4 linked regions of the Arabidopsis thaliana genome follow. The protein of the gene in region 1 purifies or fractionates together with the protein of each later gene. This does not show direct contact. Each region holds a gene or a part of one and is shown in the gene's direction. Other genes may lie near its edges.

The links.
Region 2: the proteins of AT1G33670 (region 1) and AT1G78820 fractionate together in Arabidopsis thaliana (co-fractionation; one large-scale study listed by BioGRID). This does not show direct contact.
Region 3: the proteins of AT1G33670 (region 1) and AT1G78830 fractionate together in Arabidopsis thaliana (co-fractionation; one large-scale study listed by BioGRID). This does not show direct contact.
Region 4: the proteins of AT1G33670 (region 1) and scpl35 fractionate together in Arabidopsis thaliana (co-fractionation; one large-scale study listed by BioGRID). This does not show direct contact.

The regions. Positions count from the first base shown.
Region 1 is NC_003070.9:12,200,364-12,204,034, forward strand, and holds AT1G33670 (Leucine-rich repeat (LRR) family protein), read left to right. Parts: upstream 1-1,599; coding exon 1,600-2,967; 3' UTR 2,968-3,045; downstream 3,046-3,671.
Region 2 is NC_003070.9:29,633,448-29,637,710, reverse strand, and holds AT1G78820 (D-mannose binding lectin protein with Apple-like carbohydrate-binding domain-containing protein), read left to right. Parts: upstream 1-1,779; 5' UTR 1,780-1,942; coding exon 1,943-3,310; 3' UTR 3,311-3,615; downstream 3,616-4,263. Other genes in the region: AT1G78830 (Curculin-like (mannose-binding) lectin family protein), read left to right, coding at 1-570.
Region 3 is NC_003070.9:29,636,318-29,640,530, reverse strand, and holds AT1G78830 (Curculin-like (mannose-binding) lectin family protein), read left to right. Parts: upstream 1-1,757; 5' UTR 1,758-2,022; coding exon 2,023-3,390; 3' UTR 3,391-3,713; downstream 3,714-4,213. Other genes in the region: AT1G78840 (F-box/RNI-like/FBD-like domains-containing protein), read left to right, coding at 1-46, 79-621, 706-846, 939-1,241.
Region 4 is NC_003076.8:2,655,327-2,662,059, forward strand, and holds scpl35 (serine carboxypeptidase-like 35), read left to right. Parts: upstream 1-1,727; 5' UTR 1,728-1,909; coding exon 1,910-2,183; intron 2,184-4,108; coding exon 4,109-4,216; intron 4,217-4,317; coding exon 4,318-4,506; intron 4,507-4,635; coding exon 4,636-4,724; intron 4,725-4,833; coding exon 4,834-5,127; intron 5,128-5,230; coding exon 5,231-5,367; intron 5,368-5,497; coding exon 5,498-5,590; intron 5,591-5,687; coding exon 5,688-5,946; 3' UTR 5,947-6,111; downstream 6,112-6,733. Other genes in the region: AT5G08250 (Cytochrome P450 superfamily protein), read right to left, coding at 1-455; AT5G08270 (C5orf35), read left to right, coding at 6,421-6,465. UniProt on the Arabidopsis thaliana protein: Probable carboxypeptidase.

The DNA.
Region 1 (3,671 bases):
AGAATCATCACACTACTACGAAATTCACTGATTCTACTAAATTGCTAAGAGATTGATTACTATAAATGGATCAACAAAGAAACCCGAAGAAAGGGGTTTGTGATTCCTAACCTTATTTTGCTTAATCACAAGGATTTGTAATCAAGATTCAATTCCACAATTATGTTCTGAATAATCGGAAGAGAATTATGAAGTAAACGAAACAACCGATGAATCAAAAACAAACTTGAAATCGATCAGAATTGGGTTTATTATATACCTGATTGTTTGCGTAATATCGGAGGGTTTAAACCGAGTCAATCACACGCTCCTCTTGACGGCGGTGACAAGGATTTCCTCCCCAATTTCGTTTCTCATCCCCAGATTCATCACCGGCTGGAGCCGAAACAAGTTGATTCCGAAGAATTTGATAATTTGAATTGTAGAGACGAAGTATTTTTTGAGTCGGTGATGAAATGAATGGAACCAGAAAATTATATTTGTAGTGAGTGTTCTAAAGCTAGTTGATACGAAAATACTAAAATACCCCGTTTTATTCCGTTAGACCCATTTGGATTTGGATTTGAATTATAATTTTCCCCCTAATTTGAAAATTTTAGTCCGTTAAAACTTAAAACAAAAATTCAAATTACATATTACTTATGGTTGGATGTGCACTTTACTTAATTTGAGAATACTACCACGAGTGAGTTCATTAAGAAATTCTTAAGTATTACAACCCTTACCTTCATTCTAACGAGAACACAAAGCAATAACGAACACAATAACAATTAGATGATTCATTTTTTGGATCTAGAATATTTCTTAAAGTACAATGAATCCAAAAGCTTAATGTTCATAAGCCAACAAATAAATTTGAACAAAAATATAAACCAAAAATGAACCTATGGCGGGAGGAGCATTTCCTGTCGAAAACTAAGGTTAATCAGTAATATAATGATCAATCCTTTCTCTCTCTCAAACTAAGATTCAAAAAGCTCCAATGGAGTAACCTGAAAGACAAGAAGCGCATAAGAAAATTGGTTGAGGAAATGAATCATAAGAAGTAAATCGATTAGACAGACCATTATAGAGATTCTGCGACTATCTCTTAAACAAACCAACGTCTTAAATCTCTAAACTCACACTTAAACAATATGAAAACAACCTCTCCAATACTCTGATAACAAACCATGCCTCAAAATCGTGTTGCTTGTATTCTACGGAACAGGCATTATACTATTATAAGATCAAAATATATTGAACAAAATCTCGCAGCTTAATTTAATACTTAAAAAATCACAGGTCAATAAGATATACAAGAGGGATTACCAATATCACGCTTACCATTCCAATGACATGTGGTCAAGTCTTAAGATCGAGATTCACATTGATATCAGATCTCTTTATTTTGTTAATTAAGGTCTATATCATGGAGTATCTCTTTTACCGACAGAGAGTTGATTAAGCCTGTCATGGGAATATAAAATGATAATTGTCATGCTGTAATTACGGACACCACTAACTATGCAAGAAAAAACACGTTTGAAAATGAATAGAAATGAAATCAGACCTCGAGTCGACGACACTTCAGTCACTTCTCTCATTCAACAAAACACCATGAACTCTTGTTCCTTCCCTCTCTTCCTCTTTGTTATCTTTCTCCGGTGTTTAAGTTCCACGGGAGCTGCCACATGTCATCCTGATGACAAAGCGGGTCTTTTAGCTTTCAAATCGGGTATAACCCAAGATCCTTCGGGTATTCTCAGCTCATGGCAGAAAGATATTGACTGCTGCTCCTGGTACGGTATCTTTTGCCTCCCTACGATTCATGGCGACCGCGTCACCATGATGGCATTAGACGGAAATACGGATGTTGGTGAAACCTTTCTCTCCGGCACTATCTCACCGTTGCTCGCCAAACTCCATCACCTCAACGAGATTCGCCTCACCAATCTTCGAAAGATCACTGGATCTTTTCCCCACTTCCTCTTCAAATTACCAAAGCTAAGGACTGTTTACTTAGAGAATAACCGTCTCTCTGGTCCCCTTCCTGCCAACATCGGTGCACTAAGTAATTTGGAAATTTTGAGTGTGGCGGGAAACCGGTTCAGCGGTTCGATCCCAAGTTCGATGTCTAAGTTAACTAGCTTACTCCAACTCAAGCTCAACGGTAACCGCCTTTCTGGCATCTTCCCAGACATATTCAAATCCATGCGGCAACTTCGATTTCTTGATCTCTCCAGCAACAGATTCTCTGGAAACCTTCCTTCATCGATTGCATCTCTTGCACCGACTCTTTCTACCCTTGAGGTGGGCCATAACAAGCTATCGGGGACTATCCCGGACTATTTATCGAGATTCGAGCTTCTCTCCGCATTAAATCTCTCTAGGAATGGGTACACAGGGGTCGTGCCGATGAGTTTTGCCAATCTGACCAACATTATCTTTCTTGATCTCTCCCACAATCTGCTTACCGGTCCATTCCCTGTCTTGAACTCATTAGGCATCGAATATCTACATCTTTCGTACAACCGATTTCACCTTGAAACAATCCCCGAATGGGTGACCTTGTCGAAGTTCATCTACTCATTGAAGCTTGCAAAATGTGGGATCAAAATGAGCTTAGACCATTGGATGCCAGCAGACACCTCTTTCTACCATCACATTGATTTTTCGGAAAACGAGATCTCAGGGAGTCCAATAAGGTTTTTTAACCAGATGGATTTTATGGTGGAGTTCCATGCACCGGGGAACAAACTCCAGTTCGACTTGGGGAAGCTAAAGTTTGGAATCTTCTTGAAAACCCTGGATTTGTCAAGGAACTTGGTATTTGGGAAGGTACCGGTGACGGTGACCAGACTGCAGACACTAAACTTGAGTCAAAACCATCTTTGCGGAAAGCTTCCATCGACAAAGTTCCCGGCTAGTGCTTTTGTCGATAACAAGTGTCTTTGCGGCTTTCCACTTTCTCCTTGTAAAGCTTAGGGACAAGAAAAGCACAGTTTTGTATTTGGATTTATTATGACACGTAGCTCCAAATAAAATTTGTGTGACTATAATAAAGTGATTTAAAGATCCCAATGCCAATAAGCTCCATTACAACTATAGTGAATGTTAGTGAAAGTATGATTTCAACCCTTATGCACTATTTCCATGCAGTCGTTATGTTGGTACAAAATTGAGGATCTGAAGGCATTTGAAAGGTCACCAAACAGTCTCTCTGAGAAACATGAAGCGAAGAAATTCATATTTAGTCAATAGAACCACTGAGCCGGACAATGATTACCTCAACATGATACGAAATGATTAAATTTAATGAGTAGTAGTAGTATTCTAATACAAATGTTCCGATTTATGTAACGTTGGCTTGTATTAATGATGCATATGTTATGCTTGAGTGTTCTTATAAATTTGGTCGAACACTTGAAATGTAAACGGATCAGATCTTGTATTTAATTGTGCATGGGCTAAATTAAATACTTCTCTTTTACCTTTTTTGCCAATGAAAAGTTGAATAATAGTAAGGTCCGATAGGCCCATTAAAAAGCCCACAAACCCTTTAATCAGCTATATTCCCATTCCACTGCTCCCAAGTCGTCACCACCACTTCCCGTCCTCTCTCCAGTCACTGTTTCCGAAGCCCTAAAGTTTTCAAGGTCGCCGATTAAATCACCAAAGGAGGCGTTTTT
Region 2 (4,263 bases), about 17 Mb from region 1:
CGGTTACTCCAAGTCAGACCAATCGGAAGCGGAGGAGGAACTTTAAATCTGAACAAAATCAATTACAACGGAACGATTTCGTATCTAAGACTCGGATCTGACGGGAGTCTCAAGGCTTACTCGTATTTCCCAGCAGCTACGTATCTCAAATGGGAAGAGAGTTTCTCATTCTTCTCCACTTACTTCGTCCGTCAATGTGGCTTGCCGTCGTTTTGCGGCGATTACGGTTACTGCGATCGTGGGATGTGCAACGCGTGTCCTACACCAAAAGGATTACTCGGATGGAGTGATAAATGCGCACCACCTAAAACGACGCAGTTTTGCAGCGGAGTCAAGGGTAAAACTGTCAATTATTATAAGATAGTCGGTGTTGAGCATTTTACTGGGCCTTATGTTAATGATGGACAAGGCCCAACTTCTGTGAACGATTGCAAGGCCAAGTGCGATCGTGATTGCAAGTGTTTGGGTTACTTCTACAAAGAGAAAGACAAGAAATGTTTGCTTGCTCCTCTGCTTGGTACACTTATCAAAGATGCCAACACTTCTTCTGTTGCTTACATCAAATATTAGTGTTTTTTTGGGAAAGTTATTTACCGAATTCTTTTTGAATTCTTAGAGATTTAATGAATAATCGGTGTGCTTGTAATGATCCACCGTTGAATATATTGTATTACCTTAAAAAAAAGCCATCAGATGTATTTACTATATATATATAGTACCTTTGAGAATCAAAATACCATGTGAAGCATTATCATTATTTTGTTGCCTCTGACAAGAGTTTTGTAGTCCACTGGTCCTCCACTTGGAATACCGCTCACTTGGTTCTTAATTCAATTGACTACTGAGGTTTGTAGATGGTCGTTGGGACTCATACTGTCAAAAGAACAGCAAAAATTTTGTCACTTCTCCAACTCATTGGGCCTTTAGGCTTTGTCATAGCCCAATAATTCTATCTTAATCGGACAAACCGTGTGGTCCACTTCCCTTCGTACATATTTTTTACAAGTTTTGTGGTCTTACTTTTTACTTTTTAGCATTACATGGGATAAAAAGTGAAAGCTTGCCCAGCAGCTATGCATCCATCAACCATCAAAATCTGACTCACAGTACTGTTTTGGATGTCTGAACTTACATAAAAGATTCGATCATCACAAGATGATTATTGTGAGTTTTAATTTTTTTACTGTTAAAGCTGGCGGAGATGTTTTTATATCTGTTAGCATTATCTCGGAAATTTGTATATATATATACGACAGTCTAGTGGCGGGTCAGATAAAGGTGGAATGTGTAGTCTAGACTTTAGAATATATAAAATTACTTTATGAAGTATATTTACATACAAGACGGTAAAATCGAGAAATTTATATAGCTAGTTTGGGAAGTGTGGGTACTTAGTTATCCAAATATTCACTAATTTGAGTAGAGATCAAAATGGTGATCGGGTAGATTGCAATCTTGAAAGGATTTTTAGATATATTTTTACAGTTTAAAGTATTTAAACGAGTACATTCTATATTTAAAAACAAGTGTTTAAAGTATGAATCCGATTGGAGAATCTAAATTTTCTTTTGTCAAAAACGATGGTCAACTTTGTCTGAACAATTTTCATGAGATTAGTTATACAAAATTTGTGTAATAAAAACGGATTAACAACAATATATATAATTAGTGTTTTACTCACAACTTTTGTATATACGATAATTTTCGAAAATTCTCAGTAGACATATCTTATCCAAATCATAAATGAGCCATTGGTTGATCTGTATAACGAAGACACGATTTGCAGCTTAGGACCATTCAAAAAAAAAAAAAAAAAAAACTTAGGACTTTCAAACGAATACAGCCCAACGACCCAAAGTTAAGATCTTATATATACACCTAAAGGATATAGAAAATCATCTCACTCTACTACTCAATCTCAGTAAACATAAAGAACACAACCATGCTTAGGTTTGATTACTTACTAATCACGGCACTTGCCATTTCAACTGTTTCGGTTGTCATGGCCCAAGTCCCTCCCGAGAAACAATTCAGAGTGCTCAACGAACCCGGCTACGCCCCATACATCACCGAGTACGACGCGAGTTACCGATTCCTCAACTCACCGAATCAGAATTTCTTCACAATTCCTTTCCAGCTCATGTTTTACAATACAACTCCTAGCGCCTACGTGTTAGCTCTCCGAGTCGGAACGAGGCGTGACATGAGTTTCACGCGTTGGATCTGGGACGCCAATCGCAACAACCCCGTCGGAGACAACTCCACACTCTCATTCGGCCGAAACGGAAACCTTGTGCTCGCTGAGTTAAACGGCCAAGTCAAGTGGCAGACTAACACAGCCAACAAAGGCGTCACCGGATTCCAAATCTTGCCCAATGGAAACATGGTGCTACACGACAAACATGGAAAATTCGTTTGGCAGAGTTTCGATCATCCCACCGATACACTCCTCGTCGGCCAATCCCTAAAAGTTAACGGAGTTAACAAACTCGTTAGCCGTACATCTGATATGAACGGCTCCGATGGTCCGTACAGCATGGTGTTGGACAACAAAGGCTTAACCATGTACGTTAACAAAACCGGTACGCCGTTAGTTTACGGGGGATGGACGGATCACGACTTCCGCGGTACCGTCACGTTCGCCGTTACAAGAGAGTTCGATAATTTAACGGAGCCGTCAGCTTACGAGCTTCTCTTAGAACCCGCACCACAACCCGCTACGAACCCGGGTAATAACCGCCGGTTACTCCAAGTTAGACCAATCGGAAGCGGAGGAGGAACTTTAAACTTAAACAAAATCAACTACAATGGAACGATATCGTATCTGAGACTTGGATCCGACGGTAGCCTCAAGGCCTTCTCGTATTTCCCTGCCGCGACGTATCTCGAATGGGAAGAGACTTTCGCTTTCTTCTCCAATTACTTCGTCCGTCAATGCGGTTTGCCGACGTTTTGCGGCGATTACGGTTACTGCGATCGAGGAATGTGCGTCGGGTGCCCTACACCGAAAGGTCTGTTAGCTTGGAGTGATAAATGCGCTCCACCTAAAACGACGCAGTTTTGCAGCGGAGGCAAGGGTAAAGCTGTCAATTATTACAAGATAGTCGGTGTTGAGCATTTTACTGGGCCGTATGTTAATGATGGACAAGGCCCAACTTCTGTGAACGATTGCAAGGCTAAGTGCGATCGTGATTGCAAGTGTTTGGGTTACTTCTACAAGGAGAAGGACAAGAAATGTTTGCTTGCTCCTCTTCTTGGTACACTTATCAAAGATGCCAACACTTCTTCCGTTGCTTACATCAAATATTAGCGAGATTTATAAACCGAAACCAACGTGAATTCTCATAGATTTAATGAATAATTGGTGTTGTTATAATGCTTCACCGTTTTTGTTTTCGTAGACTCGCGTATTATGCTCAGTCCTAGTCAAGTATGATATTATCAAAATAAAAATGGATGATATTGATGTTCTTCAGATTATCAAAATTGAAATTAATAGTCGATCATTATAATGCGTCCTTTATACAATATTCAATTAATGCTTTTGTTTTGTATAAATAACAATGAGACAACTCGATATTGTTGCACATTTCATAATTTTCTGTTGGTTAATGATTATGCCGTGGGACCATTTTTTCTATGCATACGACTGATTACTGAGATTTTTCTTTTCTTGGTTGAATGAGTATCTGCAGGAAAATTAAAAACTCAAATTTATAAAAAATTAGGAAGAATCATATCCTAGGAGAGTAGGTAGGTAATTGTTGTTTTAAATATAAACAAAGGGAATACTTCTTTTAACCACAAAAGTTATGCTATCATTTTAGAAAGAAAAAACTATTCAACCAACCCTTGAATAATGGATATTCACCTAGTTTATTAGAAATTTTCTAGTAACGATTGGTCAGTGCCTCAGTGGCAGCCAAAAAGGAATATCCTTAATCTTATTTAATTTTGACAACAAATATTTAATACACTCCAATAACATTAGAATTCTGTAGATGACAAAACTTTAAATAAGTAAATGCAAGCGTCCATCGCGGATCTTTGGGATTGGGACCTCCATAGATTTATTTGTCTGGTTCTATTTGAGAGAATCATATTTACAAAATTTAAGGTCCATTGGGCTTTATTTATGGGCCTATTAATTATCGATTTATCCACATTCTTCTTTTGTTTGGTTTTCATCGTTTCCAATTTCCATGCACAAAGAAAACGCTCTTATACGTAAATATATTGGTATTTCTACTAGATCATACTTTA
Region 3 (4,213 bases), about 17 Mb from region 1:
CAAGTGGGTCGACTCAGTGGTTACCCGTGGAGTTCAGCATCTTGTGGTTGTTGCTAAAATATTTGGTTCTTGCATAAGAACAATTATTGTCCCATAAAACTTCCGGGAAGCATTTCTATGTGTGAAACATTGGTACACTTGAAGCTGGTCGAGGTAGGCATTGATAGTTTTGACTCCGTTTCTCTACCTCGTCTTGAGACTATGCATTTACTATCGGTTTGGTTTTCGAGCGAAGCGGCTCTAGAGAGGCTTATCTCATCCTCCCCAGTTCTTCAAGTTTTGTACATTGAAAAAGTTTGGAATGTGGAAGTTATACGAGTGCGGTCTCAGACACTATATAGCTTGAGAATGCGTATTTGGAAAAGAGATTTAGATTGGAACAAAGATTTAACAAAAATTGGGCTAGTGATTGATGCTCCTAGGCTTAAGTCTCTGAATCTTCAAATCCACCGGTTTAAAGACCTTGTGCTGAATAGTGTATGTTCTCCGCTCAAAGTGGATATTAGTATCTCTAAAGGAGAGTTTAATCCTATTAACTCATTGACGATGAAAACATTGCGTACATTTATTGCTTGGATATCAAATGTCACAAATCTTGCACTCAATTACTGTTGTCTAGAGGTATGTATATTTTTGTAACTATTCATCCTGAATTAATCTGTCTCGAAAACTTATTACTAATTTATTCTTCTTGGTTTTTGCTAGGCTATGTATGCTTACTCTAGCTCGGAACCATTGCCTCAGTTCTCTAACTTAACCCATTTGGAAGTTTCGATGGACTCCTCTTGTTTAAAGTTGTTACCAACGTTTCTCGCAAGCTGTCCAAACCTAAAATCTCTAGAGTTGGTAATTTTATTTTTATAAGTAACTCTTGAATTACTTAACTAAACTATACATTCTCATTACGTTTTTCGTTTCTTGTCCTTGATATTATGTAGTGGGTTCACGATCATCGTCTAGATATATTGGATATCTCAAGATCAACTATGCCTAAGTGTCTGCTAATATCGCTCAAGTTTGTTACGATATACAGCACAGCTATGATATCCAGCTCGGTTGAGAATCAGGTCGAAACCGAGCTTGTCAAATACATCCTGGGGAATGCAGCAGTTGTCAAGGAGCTTACTCTTCGATTCATTTTATGGGCAGAAGAACACAGGTTTCAACTTAGCAAGCAAATCCTTGCGTTTCCAAAGCTTTCTTCTGCTTGTCAAGTCTTTCTTCATTCGTCGTTTTTTTGAACTTGTTGTGAGGATCAAGCACAAGTGTAAACGTTATGCTTCTTAGGTGTTTTTAGTTTCCACACTTGTTCCGGTTAGACATCGTAATTTTTAAAAATTTTAAGATTTATGTGATTGGTAAATTCAAGATGCCGCAATATTATTGATATCGTAGATATCTTTGTCAGCCATTATTTGTTTGGGTTTCGTTTGGTGCACATGTAAAGAATAAGATACATGGATCTCTGCTACCCATAGATACGTGTACTTAAACTTTTAAATGAAAAAGCCAAATCTTGGCCCCTCGCAGTGGCATCTAAGAAAAATCCACAACTACATTTTTTCTTCAAAACTTAACTAAACTCACAGCTTCAAGTCTATTTTACCAAGACGGTGCTGTGATATTTTACCAATCCTCATTATCCTCTCATAGGCAGAAAATCCGGTTTCAAGTCTTCTAGAAAATGATAGTATTAAGATAAATGCATAAAAGGATTAATCATTTTCTTTCGACAAGAAAATAAATTATATGATATTCAGAAAGCAAAATAGTTATGACGAATATTCGATAATCTGCACTAGACAAACCTTATCCAAATCATAAGTCGCCATCGGCTCCATTGTACAGCACCAATTTGCTTGATCTCTTCTTCTTTAATTAGTCAAGTCGCAATTAGCAACTTTGACTTTTCAAACGAATACGGCCAATATTACAAAGCTAAACAACTTATATATACCACAACACAAGATACATCTTCTACATAATCATCTCACTCCTTTACTCACACAAGAAAACAAAATCATGTCTCGATTTGCTATCTTAGTAACCTTGGCACTTGCCATTGCCACTGTTTCGGTGGTTATAGCTCAAGTCCCTCCGGAGAAACAATTCAGAGTCGTCAACGAAGGAGAATTCGGTGAATACATCACTGAGTACGACGCAAGTTACAGATTCATCGAATCATCAAACCAGAGCTTCTTCACATCACCATTCCAGCTCTTGTTTTACAACACTACCCCTAGCGCCTACATCTTAGCTCTCCGAGTCGGACTCAGGCGTGACGAGTCTACCATGCGTTGGATATGGGACGCGAATCGCAACAACCCCGTCGGAGAAAACGCTACACTCTCACTCGGCCGTAACGGCAACCTCGTCCTCGCTGAAGCTGACGGACGAGTCAAATGGCAGACTAACACAGCTAACAAAGGCGTCACCGGATTCCAAATCTTACCCAACGGAAACATCGTCCTACACGACAAAAACGGCAAATTCGTATGGCAGAGTTTCGATCACCCCACCGATACACTCCTCACCGGCCAATCGTTAAAAGTTAACGGAGTCAACAAACTCGTTAGCCGTACATCTGATTCGAACGGCTCAGATGGTCCGTACAGCATGGTGCTGGACAAAAAAGGTTTAACCATGTACGTTAACAAAACCGGTACGCCGTTAGTTTACGGCGGATGGCCGGATCACGATTTCCGCGGCACCGTCACTTTCGCCGTTACAAGAGAATTCGATAATTTAACGGAGCCGTCAGCTTACGAGCTTCTCTTAGAACCCGCACCACAACCCGCTACGAACCCGGGTAATAACCGCCGGTTACTCCAAGTCAGACCAATCGGAAGCGGAGGAGGAACTTTAAATCTGAACAAAATCAATTACAACGGAACGATTTCGTATCTAAGACTCGGATCTGACGGGAGTCTCAAGGCTTACTCGTATTTCCCAGCAGCTACGTATCTCAAATGGGAAGAGAGTTTCTCATTCTTCTCCACTTACTTCGTCCGTCAATGTGGCTTGCCGTCGTTTTGCGGCGATTACGGTTACTGCGATCGTGGGATGTGCAACGCGTGTCCTACACCAAAAGGATTACTCGGATGGAGTGATAAATGCGCACCACCTAAAACGACGCAGTTTTGCAGCGGAGTCAAGGGTAAAACTGTCAATTATTATAAGATAGTCGGTGTTGAGCATTTTACTGGGCCTTATGTTAATGATGGACAAGGCCCAACTTCTGTGAACGATTGCAAGGCCAAGTGCGATCGTGATTGCAAGTGTTTGGGTTACTTCTACAAAGAGAAAGACAAGAAATGTTTGCTTGCTCCTCTGCTTGGTACACTTATCAAAGATGCCAACACTTCTTCTGTTGCTTACATCAAATATTAGTGTTTTTTTGGGAAAGTTATTTACCGAATTCTTTTTGAATTCTTAGAGATTTAATGAATAATCGGTGTGCTTGTAATGATCCACCGTTGAATATATTGTATTACCTTAAAAAAAAGCCATCAGATGTATTTACTATATATATATAGTACCTTTGAGAATCAAAATACCATGTGAAGCATTATCATTATTTTGTTGCCTCTGACAAGAGTTTTGTAGTCCACTGGTCCTCCACTTGGAATACCGCTCACTTGGTTCTTAATTCAATTGACTACTGAGGTTTGTAGATGGTCGTTGGGACTCATACTGTCAAAAGAACAGCAAAAATTTTGTCACTTCTCCAACTCATTGGGCCTTTAGGCTTTGTCATAGCCCAATAATTCTATCTTAATCGGACAAACCGTGTGGTCCACTTCCCTTCGTACATATTTTTTACAAGTTTTGTGGTCTTACTTTTTACTTTTTAGCATTACATGGGATAAAAAGTGAAAGCTTGCCCAGCAGCTATGCATCCATCAACCATCAAAATCTGACTCACAGTACTGTTTTGGATGTCTGAACTTACATAAAAGATTCGATCATCACAAGATGATTATTGTGAGTTTTAATTTTTTTACTGTTAAAGCTGGCGGAGATGTTTTTATATCTGTTAGCATTATCTCGGAAATTTGTATATATATATACGACAGTCTAGTGGCGGGTCAGATAAAGGTGGAATGTGTAGTCTAGACTTTAGAATATATAAAATTACTTTATGAAGTATATTTACATACAAGACGGTAAAATCGAGAAATTTATATAGCTAGTTTGGGAAGTGTGGGTACTT
Region 4 (6,733 bases), on another chromosome or scaffold:
TCGGTGTTGAAAATCCCGTCTCCGAGTAGATCTTGCATGGTCTCACGGAAGTAAGAACCCTTTGGGTAGATAGAGAAACGGGTCTTGAGAAGATGCTCAACGTTTCTTGGGTCGCAGGTAACAACGCAGTTGAGGGTGCTAAACCAAGGACCTCTAAACCGGAATGTCCCGTTTTGGCTGATAAGAACATCAGACAGCCATTCGTATATGTTGCTTCGTACCGCGGATATCAACGAAGGAAGCATGCCAACCAACGGCCAAACGGGCATCCCTTGGTGTTTCTTCTGGCGCAAGGAATGTATTGTCGCAAACACGAAAAAGGCAATAAAGAGCTCAAGAATCTGAACATCTCTCAGGGAAAACAGCCTCCTTGAAACCAGAAGTTCGTCGCTTCCGAAACAAGAAGAGGACACGGCAGTAGCCGTGAGATTATAAGAAGAAAAACTAAGATTCATAGTGACAAAGAAGGAACAAAGAAACAGAGTGTGTATAATTTTTTTGCAGAGAGAAAGAGAAAGAGAGATAAGAAATAATGAAGTTGTTAGTTAATTTAGTAGGTGAAGAATGTGAAATGAGGGAAGAAGGATTTAAGACGCATAAGTTTCGTGTTTGGCTCTCAATGTGAAATTGGGTTTGATTTGGTGAGCTAAAAAAAGTTCGTTGCTCTTTTCTAACGGTCTTTTAAATTTGTGTGGCTCTTTATTCTCGTGTTTTGCTATGTTTTCGTTTTGGTCTTTTGAAAGGACGAATCTTTTGGAGGGGATTAACTAGAAAATTAGGAAAATTAGAATTAGGGTTTTAGACTTGAGGATTGTTGATAAAAGAGAAATTGACAGGTGGGTAGTGACGGATCACCTAAGTTCTTGTTTATTTGTTATACACTTTATTTTATTTTGTCAAACAACTTGTTTAATTTATACGTGTGGAAATTGGAATTGGAAGAATATTAATAGTGAGTAATTCAAATAAACAGAATTTTTTTGGATACTACTGTACTATTTTAAACCTGGCGGTGAAGCCGTTGTTGTTTGAATTTAGGTTATCTGCATATATCTGGTGAATAATTGTTTTCGAACAATTTGGGCTTAGAAAACATATGGGCCTATCAATAAAGTATCGGGCCTTTGATATATATAAAATTTCATTAACCTCATTATTAATGTATTTTGGGCCTTACAGGCCCTCTGGCCTCTTCTAGGTGACTATAGCATCAATAAATGATTCTCATTAAGCCGCCAATTTCTCTGGCCTCTTCTAGGTGACTATAGCATCAATAAATTATTCCCGAGACAATTGCGAATAAACCACTTTCTTTGGAAATTATCATTGAGATCAACATAAAACATAAGCTTTGTTTATATGACAATGCTGTTGTTTTAAAGCTCTACGGTAGTACTACACATGTAATTTAATGAATTTTAATTGATTTCTAAACAGTACGAGCAATTTGTGTGTTGAATTCAACTTTGATTATATGGTTTATAAAACCTTGTTTTGGGAGATGAAATTCTGAATTAAGAAAAATAAAGAAGAAAGCATTTAATTTGCCGATGGCTCCATCTCCATAGCCATGTGGTTCAGTCTCCGATGATGACATCTCAAGCGTTGAAATTCAATTCCATCTTTCTGTAAAAGGTGAGAAAATTGGTAGTGAACCAACCATGTTATCGGAGACCGTGGAGGCACATTACAAGGAAATGATTATGAAATGTGTTTATTGTTATAACATTTTCACGTGAGTATCAAAAAAAAAATCTCATGAAAAATAAAAGACTTTTAAAGTTTTTTTTAATATAAAAAAAGACAGTATAAAGTAGAAGAAGTGGGGGCGTTTTCTCATCTGCTCTTCATTTCGATAAATAATTGAAAAGAACAAAAGAAACAAAAGAGACGAGAAAGAGTTTTGGCGATGAAGAAGAACGCACTTTGGCTACTGTGCATTCTGGTGTTACCGGCGATAGCCTGTGGTAGGAAACCGGAGAAGAAGGTAACAATTTCATCCTCTGGGAGGAAGGAAGATGACCTTGTAACCGGTTTGCCCGGCCAACCACCGGTTAACTTCAAACACTACGCCGGTTACGTGAATCTGGGGCCTGAACAGAAGCAAAAGGCACTTTTCTATTGGTTCTTCGAAGCTCAACAAAACTCTTCTCGTCGTCCTCTCGTCCTTTGGCTCAATGGAGGTCAGTTTCTCTTCCTCTCTCGCTCATTTACATAAAGTATATTTTATTTGAAGTAGTAATACAAACTTATCATTGTTCTCAATTGGAATTTTCATTCGAAACTTCATTGTTTCTGCGGTTTTACAAATATGTTTACCAATTTTAAAATGATAGCACCTTTTTTGAAACGGATGATGTGATGATTATGTTTGCAATAAAAAAATCAGTGTAATGAAAGATTAATGAACTCTCAAGCTCGTGCCTCGTGGGCCATGGTAATTAGGTTAATACATATGTCTAATCACACCATCACGTATTGACCACAAAACTCTGTGCCTGCAGGCCGTGATGTTGGGAAAATAATAGATAAAACTTGCACGAAAAAGAAAAAGAAAAAACACTAAACATAGAGAAATGTTTTCGGCAGTTGTATTTTCTTGGATACATAATTGAATTTGGACTAAAATTTTAATTATTTATATAGCTAACTCTTAGAAAACATCAAGTTGTGTACATTGTCCTACCAAACTCCATCGTCTGTCTCCTTACCCTGCCTTGTAACTTGCCAAGCAGTTCCTTTCGTTTCAGTAACAATAAAATTTTACTGTAATTGTATCGCAACGAGATAGTAAAGGGTCGTTTCGATGCAGTTGTTTTTGTTTTAAATTTTCCAAAAATTACAAGTCTATCAAATAGCCAAAACTTAAAGTAGTCTATTGTTTGTACAGTTATATATCGCTATTCTTAATAATCTGTAACTTATAGATGCCGTGTATGGCTTGATAAAAATAGCCAGAAACACCATTAAGTGATACACTGATACTATTCAACATTTTTGTTCCTTACTATTGCTTGATGGAGAAGTGATAACAAATCTGATACAGTTGGGAATGCCGACAAATTTTAATTGCCTACTTTAATAATATTTCGTTTTGTGGAACGCACTTCAACAATCTGTAGTCTGTATACGGTGGAACGAGTAGGTTCTTGCCTCTTCGGGACAAATATAGTCCAGTCCTCGTTTTCTTAACGTGAAATCTCAAAACCATAGCTTAAAACAAGTTGTATTTGAAAATGAGCTTCGATCTAATTAAGTGAACAAAAGTTATTCACAAAAATTAAAATTAACCTGTTTAAATACATCATATTTTTTCGTGAAGATTCAGTGAAATAAAACACTATACTATAACCCAACAACATATTTGGAAAAAATATCAACGAAGTCGTATATGGTCCGGCTCTCTGACAGATATTGGACTTGTATCATTCAATCAGTGTCCTTTTTGTGTAACATTCAATGTCCAAATCTTGTTTCTAGAGTGAGTAAAGATCTTTTGTCTGTTTCTTCTTTTTCTCTCGGTAGTTGTACATTCAATTTAACGAATTTACTTTATACGGTTTGTCTTTTTTCCCACACGGTTCATTCCAATATTAGGATATTTAGGGATACGAGAAATATCAACCTAGTCTTTTTTATTGGGGCTAGAAATCGGATAAGATGTTGAATATTCAATTATACACTTAGAAATAAACAAAAAGCTATGTCTAATAATAATGTGGAGTTGTGTACATGTCTAGTTTGAACAGAAAGATTGAAATTTGTTAATAATGAGGTATTACCTTTATAGGATTTGCGTGATTGAAGGGTACACACGAATCCAATGTAATCAAGAGCAATAGCAAAATCTTTAGTTATTTAATTTCTGTATACGAAAATGATATTTGAATCTTGATAGACAACTCGGGACAAAATACTGACGTCTAGCTAGCTAGTCTCATTAATTTTATTTTTTCTCGACAAATTTAGTTGTTTAGTTTTGGATTTTCTTGACAAATCTAGCGATGGAATTGAAAATAGCAATTTTCTTTAGTGAATTGTATTATTACATATTTGGTGAAACTCTTAAATTATTTTCATCAGTTTAACTAAAATCCAAAATATGCAGGACCGGGTTGCTCATCAATAGCCTATGGAGCTGCACAAGAACTAGGCCCTTTTCTTGTTCACGACAACGGTGGCAAACTTACCTACAATCATTTCTCTTGGAACAAAGGTAAAATGAATTATTACCATACTATCAGAAACATTTGAATTCTTTAGCTAACATGTATACTAATATTAACCGTGGTTACATTAAAAAAAATGTTTGTGCAGAGGCCAATATGTTGTTCTTGGAAGCGCCGGTTGGGGTTGGGTTCTCGTATACCAATAACTCAATGGATCTTCAAAAGCTTGGAGATGAAGTTACTGCATCGGACTCTCTTGCTTTCCTGATCAACTGGTTCATGAAATTCCCCGAGTTCCGATCCAGCGAGTTCTACATCTCTGGCGAGAGTTACGCCGGTAAGTGCTTTATCCGATTTTAATTCTTGATTTATGAATTATATCACCTAATATAAAAGAATTAATCTTGTATATTAATATTATATAAAACAAAGATTGAATCACATGCTTTTGATCTTCTTTTCTCAGGTCACTATGTTCCTCAGCTCGCGGAGGTAATTTACGACAGGAACAAGAAGGTTACGAAAGACTCTAGCATTAATCTCAAGGGATTCATGGTATGCACTCTATATATATGTATACTACTAGTAAGGTTACTTGCGAAACGAGGAAGCAACGTTTCTTGTGCTATAAGTAAACATAAAAGGTATTCGTTTGATGTTGCAGATAGGGAACGCGGTGATCAATGAGGCAACAGACATGGCAGGACTAGTGGACTACGCATGGAGCCACGCTATAATATCGGACGAGGTCCACACCAGCATCCATGGCTCGTGCAGTTTTGAGGAAGATACCACCAACAAGACCGAACAATGCTACAACAATTTCAAAGGGTTCATGGATGCTTACAATGATATCGATATATACAGTATCTACACTCCCGTTTGCCTCTCCTCTTTGTTGTCATCTTCTCCAAGAAAACCTAAAATCGTCGTGTCTCCTCGTCTCCTTACTTTTGACGTACGTAATCTACAATACAATATAGTATCATTGTAACATAATGTAATTACCATAATCTCTCTTCTTACTTTTTCTTACCAATTCTTCTCTTTTGATGGTTTAGGATTTGTGGGACAAGTTTCCGGCCGGGTACGATCCATGCACTGAAAGTTATGCCGAGAATTACTTTAACCGGAAAGATGTGCAGGTTGCACTCCATGCGAACGTCACCAACCTTCCTTATCCGTACTCTCCTTGCAGGTTAGTCCTCCTTACGTTACGTGGTACTAACTAAAATTAATAGCTAGCTAGAGACTTTGTATGTTAAGTTTAATGTCATGTTTCTAATGAACAAAGTATATATATATATGATCTTGTGGGTGTGATTCAGCGGAGTAATAAAGAGATGGAGTGATGCTCCATCCACCATGATTCCCATCATACAAAAGCTTTTGACGGGTGGCCTCCGTATCTGGATCTATAGGTATCTATATCTTTCTTTAACTGTTTTAAAAATTACGTGAAAAATTCATATATATTGTCAATTAGTTTAATGTTCACTGGTTCAATGTTGGCTATAGTGGAGATACGGATGGGAGAGTTCCGGTAACATCTACACGTTATAGCATAAAAAAGATGGGACTTAAGGTCGAGTCACCGTGGAGGTCATGGTTCCACAAGAGTCAAGTAGCTGGATGGGTTGAGACTTATGCCGGTGGACTAAATTTTGTCACGGTGAGAGGAGCCGGTCACCAGGTTCCGGCCTTGGCTCCGGCGCAATCTCTCACATTATTCTCTCACTTCATTTCTTCTGTCCCCTTGCCTTCAAAACGGTTCTGATATCAGTACCGTCAAGTCATGATGGCAAGTTGTTGTTGTTGTTTTGGAACCTTCGTTTAGCACTCTCCCAATTGATTTTATGAATTTCAATTGATGAATAAAGATTCTTCAACTTTTAGTTATATAATAAGGCTTTTACCTTTCTACGCACGTTTTTCGTTGTTTAATAATTTCCAGTATTTCAATTTTCAATAATCAACAAATCAGTAGTCTACTTCATTAATTTTGGAACTCAATGAAAATTTTCAAATTAATTTTAATATGAATGAAATAAATTAGGGGGAGACGGCCCTTAAGGCCCATTATAAATTTAGAGGGCCATTAAGGCCCATTAACACAAATTAAACCCAGTCATGGAGCTGAGGCAGTAGCGTTCGTTTTTTTGGAATCAATCACCGAAAGAGATCTTTCAACTGAAGCACCTGCGATTCATCTTCTTCTCTGCCCGTCGTTTCAACGTGAGGAGAAAAAAGAATGGCGTTTGCAAAAATGATGTTTCTTTTCGGAAAATTTCAGCAGGTGAATATATGAAGTTCTTATCTTCTAATCTGACTTATTTTTGAAACTTCCTCTCTGGTACGTGTTTTTTGATGTTGGGTATGAAGAAAGTTCGAGGCTTTTCAAAGGATTTAGTCTTCACTGTAATATGATTCCTGTGACTATATTTTGTAGCTTGTATAGACTTCAGAACATATGTGAGTACTTGAAAATGATTGAATTCTCAATGATTTGCTTTCTGTCCATAAAATGTAATTTGAAGTTGCTCATACGATAATAATAGGCATTG